Mus musculus: one gene and its partner. The protein of the gene in region 1 interacts with the protein of each later gene in a biochemical or structural test. Links are inferred from orthologs where the notes say so. Each region holds a gene or a part of one and is shown in the gene's direction. Other genes may lie near its edges.

Region 1 (3,807 bases):
ATCATGGCTCTTTTAGAAAAGGGAAAGAAATGAAGTCTCCCATAGGCCCAAATCAGACAGGCTTCTGTCTTTAAAATGCGGTGATAGTCCATGAGCATCCATGTTTTCTTACATCAAAAGCCAAGATCCTGGTGGGGAGAAATAGCAAAGCAATTTTAAAAACTTGGTGCTCTTCTATAGGACTGAGTCTAAGCACCACTTCTACACTTATAACTGTCTGTAACAGGTCTGACACCTTCTAGCAGTGCATATACATGGTGCACAGACATATGCGGACAGCCTGCCTACACACTATACAAATTGTATACACACACACACACACACACACACACACACACACACACACACACCACAGTGATCACTGCTCTAATTGGCTGGCGATCACAAACATTAATCTACAAGTCAGGAATGCTAAAGCAAGGAAGGCAGTTGTCCAGTTGTCTCATCTCTCAGCCTTAACCCTCAGACACACGTTATTTTCACTACATTTTTTAAAAGTCCTGACCATGGGATTTCAGAGACAGATTAAGACAGCTACTGAGCGAAGTGATAAGCGAGTCCGTTGGAGTAGATGAGACCACCTAGGGTAGATCATATCCTGGATGCCAAGAGAGCCAGCAACAGCTGTCTGCACCCTCCCCACACCACTAGCTCATTCCAGAGAGGTTTCCTTTGAGCTCAATTGGAAGACTCCCAAAAAATACTCTGTAATGCTAATTGCAGATAATGGGCTGAAGGACTGGGGGTTCTCCTAGAGACAGAGGTGGTTCCTGGTCCAGTTCCCCAGACCCCAAACAACTATCTGTAGGAAAACCAGCAAAAGGTTCTTTGAAGGCAAACCCAGAGGGTGTGTTGACCACTAGGCTATCTCCCTTGAATTTCCATTAAGCAAGAACTTTCCACACAAGCCTCTCTTTTTTTCTCTGGGCTTTTAAATCCAATCTGTCCAATTTCTGATGCTGGATGACCCAGAAACTCAGCATGGTTTGGGAGAGTGACTTGAGCTTGCCGTAGCCCAGACATATGTAGTTGATACCTATGGGCAGATGGTGTTCATCCGGTAAAATCAGGTACTTTATTGTGTTAATTAATGCAAGAGGGACCCTGAAAATACAATATTAGCTAAATTTCCAGTCTAGCAAGGCCACCGGTGCTTTCTGTTGGCTAAATTTGGAAGTTTCTATCCTGATATAACCAGAGATGTTCTGGAATTCTTTTCCTTGAGGAATAACTTGGACAGAAAGCAAGGCAGGTAAATGTGCTATTAGAGAGAATTTAAAAAGGAAGGCTTCCCCCACTTCAAGGAAAAAAACCAGGCCTATACAGAGCCTAGAGGCCTCTTTGAGACCTTCCCACCACCCACAGGCCTTAGCATTGAGGAAGCAATAAAGTAATTCTCACTTGAGATTTGTTCAATTAGCACCCCTGTGTTTTTTAAAGGCAGAAAAATGCTTTTATGAAGAGAAAAATGGTCTTCTTTTTGGCAACCTGTGTATGAGGAAGAATTCTGTGAGCCTTTGTTTTACCATTTAGCGGCTTCTCCTGCTGCAAAATAACCTTTCTCTGTCTGTTCAGGGAGATCAGGCAGTCAGGGGTTAATTCCAGTCAGTTTCCTGACCTCTTGCCCAGATGACTTTTTAAAATGTTGGATGCATTTGCATGGGGATAGAATAGAGAGAAAATGATAACTTAGTTTTAATTCGGGGCTTAACAGAATCTCTGTGTCACAGTTTGTATAGAAGCAAGAAGCTGAGTTGTATGCCAGGCAGACCTGAACTATCTCCATACCATACCTGCTGAGTGACTTAGAACACAGTATTTAATCTTAGAATAGGGCCAGGCTGTGGTAACAGTGGCAGTGGAGGTGGTGAGAGTGATGGCGCATGTCTTAATCCTAACACTTTGGAGGCAGAGGCAGGTGGATCTCTGAGTTCGAGGCCAGCCTGGTCTACAGACTGAGTTCCAGGACAGCCAGGGGTACACAGAGAAACCTGTCTTGAAAAACAAAACAAACAAACTAACTAACAAAAAAATGATGTGTGGATAAGAATAGCTCCAGCTACGTCACAGGTGGAATAAACGACTCGTTCCTGCTCATGTAGGAAGGGCCTGGAATGCAGCCACTGAGTTTGGCTTTTGTCTGGTGCTAAATACTCTTCTGAGTCCTTCTTGTACATGGTCCTTGTACACTACCTTGGAACTCTATACATTCAGTTGAAGAAACTGATGCTTAGGTGACATTCAGTCACCACCCAGTTGGTATCTAGCTGGTCTAGGATTTAAACCCAAGGTGCCCTGAATGTACAGATGTATTTAATTCTCTTCTCCCCTTCATTCGAACTACAGAGCAAATGTGCTTAGAAGTTTGGGCATTTGGCCCTTTTGCAGATTAACTTGAACTCAACCTTTGTTCAAAGCTGTCTCTTCTTCTAGAAGCCAGCCTGCTCTCCGTTTGCCTAATTTGACCTTCTTTCTCATCTCTTTCCCTTTCTTGTTCTGAAGGCGGAAGAGACGGAATTTCAACAAGCAAGCCACAGAAATTCTGAATGAATATTTCTATTCCCATCTCAGCAACCCTTACCCCAGTGAGGAAGCCAAAGAGGAGTTAGCCAAGAAGTGCGGCATCACAGTCTCCCAGGTGAGAAACCCTTGAAGAGCCAGCTTGTGGCCTTGCCTGATGGAGCCTCAGGGGGGTCTTGGAGGTTTTTCTTGGGCCTTCGGGCCTTGTAAGATCCACCAGGGAGAGCCTTGAAAGAGGAAGGTAAGCTCTTAGTACTTGTGAGACAGTTTTCAGGTGAGTTTAAAAGCCCAACCAAGGGAAACAACCAAAGGAAGAGAAAATTTAGAATACAGTGTGCAAAGAGAGACAGGCTCCTCCTGGATGGAAGTGTTTATTATATAATACCCGCACGTTCCGTGCCGTTCCTTCTAATTCCGTAGCAGTTTTTTTTTTTCTCCAAAACCAGGAACTTTAATAAGAGTTGGTGACCCAAACTACTTGAATGAAAGGGATGTCAATGCTTTCTCTTAGTGTTCTGACTCTACAAGGAATAACTGATTTGGAGAAGGAATTGAGAATGCCACTGGTTCCATTGGAATGGCACTGAGTGTCCCTTCCTCCAGAATGCATTCACTATAACAGGTCTCCACTGACGTGGAAAGATGCATGATGCAATAGTTGTATGCACATGGAATCTCTTAACATGAGCAGAATAAAAAAATAAAAAATAAAAAAAGAAGCAGTATTGAGCCCCTACTTTAGCCTAGAAAAAAAGTATAAGAAAAATTACATACTCCCCTGGATTTGAGAAGAAGACTTCCTTACAGTAGTGACTGTCTTTGGAAACACCCACTTAGGTAAGGCAGCATGCATATGGGCCTTCAGTGGCTCTGTGACCTAGCTGAAGGTCCTTTCCAGTCACATCGCTTAAAGAAAGAACCTCAGTAGTCAGACTCAACTAGTCCAGTCTCCTGTTTTTCTAGAACTGTTCCCATTTCAGTCTAGGTTTAGATTTCTTGTCTATATAACGGGAAGACATGATGTTCCTTGCTCCTGGTGGTGGATCTGACGAGTGAGTTTACGTCGGGAACCACACACCTCAGTAAATTCCCATGGTAGCGTCCTCTAAACTACTCCATGGACTCAAGGCAAAGTCCATAATTCCAGATTTTAAATTTATCTAGAAATGAGGAAGAAGCCTTCTGGAGTCAGGTTGTAGCTAACGATACTGGCATTAGCTCTAGCAACCTCTACCTCCTTCATGGTGGAAAGCCAAGTGCTGAATACTTTGTTCATTAAAAGAATTA
Region 2 (4,413 bases), on another chromosome or scaffold:
TGCAATGCTTAATAACTTTGTTCTTTGAGGCAAGGTCCCTATGTATTCCATATTGGCTAGGACCTCAAAAGGTAGATAAGAATGAATTTGACCTTCTGATCTTTGTGCTTCGACTACCCAAGTGCTGAGATAACAGGCATATGTCACCATATTAAACCTGGTAAGGTTTAATGTGTGTTGGGGATCCCACCTAGGGTTTTGTGTATGCTAGGTAAGCACTCTTATCAGCTGAGCCATATCTTCAGCTCCCAAACCCAGTTTTTCAAATTTTAATATTGTTGTTGCTATTGTATGTGGACAAATGTGTGTGCATACCACACATGTGTTGGTAGTTGGTTTTCTCCTTCCACGTGGGTTCTGTGGTGAACCGAACTGTAGCTACAAAGAGAGTGATGCCTTGGGGTGTCTGTGGAGCCTTGAGGACACAGGAGGGTGTCCTACCAAACACATGCTGCGGCTTCCTCAGGCCCCTTCCAGCCAACAGTCCTGGGGTACAAGGCTCCTCCTGAGGAGTGTGGGGTCATCAGAACCGCTTTAATCTGTGTACGGATGAGAAGCACCGATCACACACTCAGGCGGCCACTGCATAAAACTGTTGCCTAGACAAGCCAGGCAAATTGAGGGCCTCTTTCGCTCTGTCTTTTACTTCGATCAGTGAAGCCACGGGGCCCGGGGTACGCTGCTGCAGATGATCTGGTTAGGCAGAGCTTCAACTAGAGACAACACTGTCCAGTCCTCCTAAGGAAAGGTCTCTTTCTTTCTTTTTCTTTCTTTTTTTTTTTTTTTTTTTTTTTTTTTTTTTTGGCCTGGAGTCCTAACGGACCAGATGTCAGACCGCAGTCACTTCACGGTCAGTCAGGAGACTGCATCCATGGTTAGATCCCAGGGCAAACATCTCAAGCGCTCAGTCCTTCGGTCTTTAAAGATGAACGCCTACCTCCTCGCGCCTACCCCAGCTCCAGAACCTTGATTGCGAGGCGCCGCTCAGAACGAAGGGCTAGAGCCGGGAGGCCCAGAATCGCGAAGGTCCTCTGATGGTACAGCCCGTACTCCCCGCCTGAGCTGCAGATGGTTCCACCCAGTTCCACAAACCTTTATCCGAAGGGAGGGAGCAGACGAGTGCGCAGAGGAGGCGTGGTCTATAGCTCTCTGGGCCACGCCCCACGGCGTGGTCATGAAACATAAGCTCTGCCTCTGGGGCGGGGCAGGCTGCTACTGGCGCCCGGGCTGGGCCGCTGGGTGGGGCCTGGCTGAGTGCGCGCAGCGGGGCGGGACCGGCCTCTGCCCCGCCCCGCTTGGGCCCTCCCCCGCCCCCTGCCTCGCCCCCGCCCCACCCGCCCCGCCCCCCGCCCGCCGTCGCGCTGGGCGGGGGCGGGGCCCGGGGTCGGCAGGCCCCGCCCCCGCGGTGAATATTGATGCGGCGCGCATCGGCGTCGCCCTCCTCCCATTGAGCGAGGCTGTGTCGCGTGGCCCGGCGTCGGCGTGACGGTTGGACGCGGGCGCGGCACTGCGGGTCCCGATTGCTGCAGCCGCTTGTCAGTGTGATGAAGATTGGCACCCAGGTAAGCTGTCACTCAACCGCTCCGCCGCCGCCGCCGCCGCCGCTCTCGCTGCCGCCGTCCCTATCAATCACACCGGCCGAGGCCGCCGCTGCCGCCGCCTCCGCCGCTGCCTCTTCCGCCGCGGGCCAGGCGGGCGGTCGGGCGGGCGGTGCCCCGGGCCGCACTTGACCCGCGCCCGGGGCGGGGGCGGGGGCGGGGGGAGGGGTGCGCCGATGGGGGGAGGGGGCGCTGAGGCCGCGGCGCGGGGGCGCGCCCGGCTTGTTTTCCTGTGTGGGTTCAGGGGCGCGGAAATTTCTCGAAGGCGGCAGGGCCTCCGCGCTGGGCCCGCTCGAAGCGCGCGCCTAACCGTCGCTCACGGAGTGCAGCTCGCGGCTGCGGGGGCGCGCGGGCCGGCGGGGGCGCGCGGCGGCGGGCTGAGGGCCGAGGGCCGAGGCCCGGGGGCGGCGCGGCAGGAAGATGGCGGCGGGGTCGGCAGCCCAGAGGGGCGGCCGGAGCCGGTGTGGGGCTTCCCGGGGGAGTCCGCGGATGGTGACAGCGTGTCGCGCGTGTCCACGGCCCGTCGGGGAGAGCTTCTCGAGGAGCGCTTGGTCCGCTGTGCCTGCTCCGTGTGTATCTGAGAAGGGAAGCGGTGCGGCTAGGAGCACCGAGCCCGGCGACGTCGCGGCTCCAGGCTCCGGAGGCCGTAGCCTGCGCGGTCGGTCCCACCGCGCCAGCCGGGAGCGCGCGGGCCACGGGGGCCAAGATTGAGCACACATCAGGGATTCTGGATAGTTGAGACGTGGGTGTCGGCTCGACAGGGAAGCCTCTTCCAGAAGTGACTTGTTTTTGTTTTATTTTATTTTTTTTAAAGATGTGGGTGATTTCCACTAAAGGATGGAAGAACACGCCTCTAAGCAGGCCTCCTGTCATAGCACTAGAAAAATGAGCTTTCCCTAAACACTCCAGGGAAGGATTTGACTGAGGCGGGAACGCGTTGCTAGCACGCTTTTTGTTGCTCATTCGGTGTCCAGGTGAGGCAGGCAAGAGTCCCTAAACCCTCCCAGCCTGTGCGGGCCATCCCGTTGGCAATAGCGCGCTGAGTCTTAGATCCACCATTGTGTGAGGTACCGTTGAAGCTTAAGGTTCTTCCTGGAGAACTTTGGCCACCAGGGCACCAGGAGTTGATGCTCCTTAAGAGAGACCCCTGTGCTTTAGGATAGAACAAGGATGGCTGGGAAGATAGCTCGGTTCCCCCCCCCCCCCCCGCCCCCAACCAGCTCTGTGATTCAGGGGGCGGCAGTTTACATTTGGTAACGTTTCTGTGGCCTTGTATCCTAACTTTAGGAGGTCCTGATTGTGAATTGTGGAAACAAAGTCACTGTAGGAGTAGTAACATTCAGTTACAAGCTTCACTTTGGCCCTGCACAGTTAAAACCAGAACTGTTGAGAGGAAAAGAGATTTGCCAAAGTTCGAAGTGTGGATCCAGGAGCTGAAACTTTCCCAGGGTCAAAAAGAGTACCAGTCATGTTGGAATAGCTCTCAAAAATATCTGATCTAGCGAGGTGGTGGTGGCACGCTCCTAATTCCAGCACTCAGGAGGCAGAGGCAGGTGGACCTCTTTAGTCTGGGCTATAGAGTTCAATCAAGATAGTCATGGCTACATAGAGAACCCTGTCTTAAAAAAAGTATTGGGCCAAAGTGTCTCATCGGAGCCCCGGATTAGCTCCCTGTGCAGCCGGGCTGAGCAGAGCTTTCCAAGTCCTTTGGGAGTGTGGTGAGGTTTCTGTGACAACTTAAATGCTTTGTGGACATGCCTCACACTGGTTTTGCTCATCTGATCTGATTGCCTTCCTCGCTGAAGATGCTTCCTTTTTGTTTTTGTCAGTTTCTGTCCTTTTTAGAAACCCATGTACATTCAGCTGTCTTTGGTAGGAATATGGATGAATGGATGTTCAGGGCCCTCTTCATGACCTGGCAAATTTTTTGTTGGCAGAGGTGACAAGGAATTCAAGAAGTACAACAGTCAGGAGAGCTTGATGTCCTGATGTGGTGTGGTCTAACAGTGGTTGAGGGTAAGAGAAGTTAGCCACAGCCTTTGGTGGGTTAGGCTGTCTTACAGTTAGCTGTGCTGAAACACAGGGAGTTCTTGTCTAGAGTGAAAGTTTCCATCTTGTCTAGAGTGAAAGTATGTTGTATGTGGTAGGATTGGTAGGATGAACAAAGTGGACTGGACAGTCATTTGGTGCAAAGCAGACAAAGGCCTGGCCACAAAGGCTGCTTCGTGTTACATTACTGAGGGTATGCCAGGTACCTCAACTGCTACAGCCCCTGCTGTTGAGCTATTGTTTAGGAAGTTCCCCCCAGAAGGCAGGCAGTGTGGCCTGTGGTTGGGAATTGTGTCTCTGATGTTCTGTGGTTCTTGGAACAGCATCATGGGAAGCGGATGGCGTAGCTTCTTACTCCAAGGATTTTCAGGGAGGTGGCGGGGGGGGGGAACATTTACAGAATCTTGAAAACCATGAGGTAGGGGATGCAGTTCACTGACGGAACTCTTGCTTTACAAAGCCCTGTCATTCCAAATATCCCTGCTCCAGATGATTTTATCATCTTGGGCCTTTCTCTGGAGTGATAGAGCGTGGCCATCCTGATGGGTAAAGTCACAAGGCCCTTCTTCCCGTCTGAGGGTAAACTGGTTAGCATGGGTTGTCAGTGCTCTGTGTATATAACATAATTTCTGTTCAGGGCAATCCTGTCACCTGAAGGCCCACCTTCTGATAGAGGTAAGCCTTCTCTGGTGACTCTGTGTGTGTGCTCACTGGGATAAGACGACAGGTGTCCAGTGGGCTCCCTTTGTAGTCACCATGTTGTCTC

What was found.
Region 2: the proteins of Pbx1 (region 1) and Pknox1 form a complex in vitro, tested with the Homo sapiens proteins (2 studies listed by BioGRID). The link is inferred for Mus musculus from reciprocal best matches to the Homo sapiens genes PBX1 and PKNOX1.

What each region holds. Positions count from the first base shown.
Region 1 is NC_000067.6:168,194,579-168,198,385, reverse strand, and holds part of Pbx1 (pre-B-cell leukemia transcription factor 1), read left to right. Parts: intron 1-2,502; coding exon 2,503-2,638; intron 2,639-3,807. UniProt on the Homo sapiens protein: Transcription factor which binds the DNA sequence 5'-TGATTGAT-3' as part of a heterodimer with HOX proteins such as HOXA1, HOXA5, HOXB7 and HOXB8. Binds to the DNA sequence 5'-TGATTGAC-3' in complex with a nuclear factor which is not a class I HOX protein.
Region 2 is NC_000083.6:31,563,327-31,567,739, forward strand, and holds the start of Pknox1 (homeobox protein PKNOX1), read left to right. Parts: upstream 1-1,446; 5' UTR 1,447-1,562; intron 1,563-4,413. UniProt on the Homo sapiens protein: Activates transcription in the presence of PBX1A and HOXA1.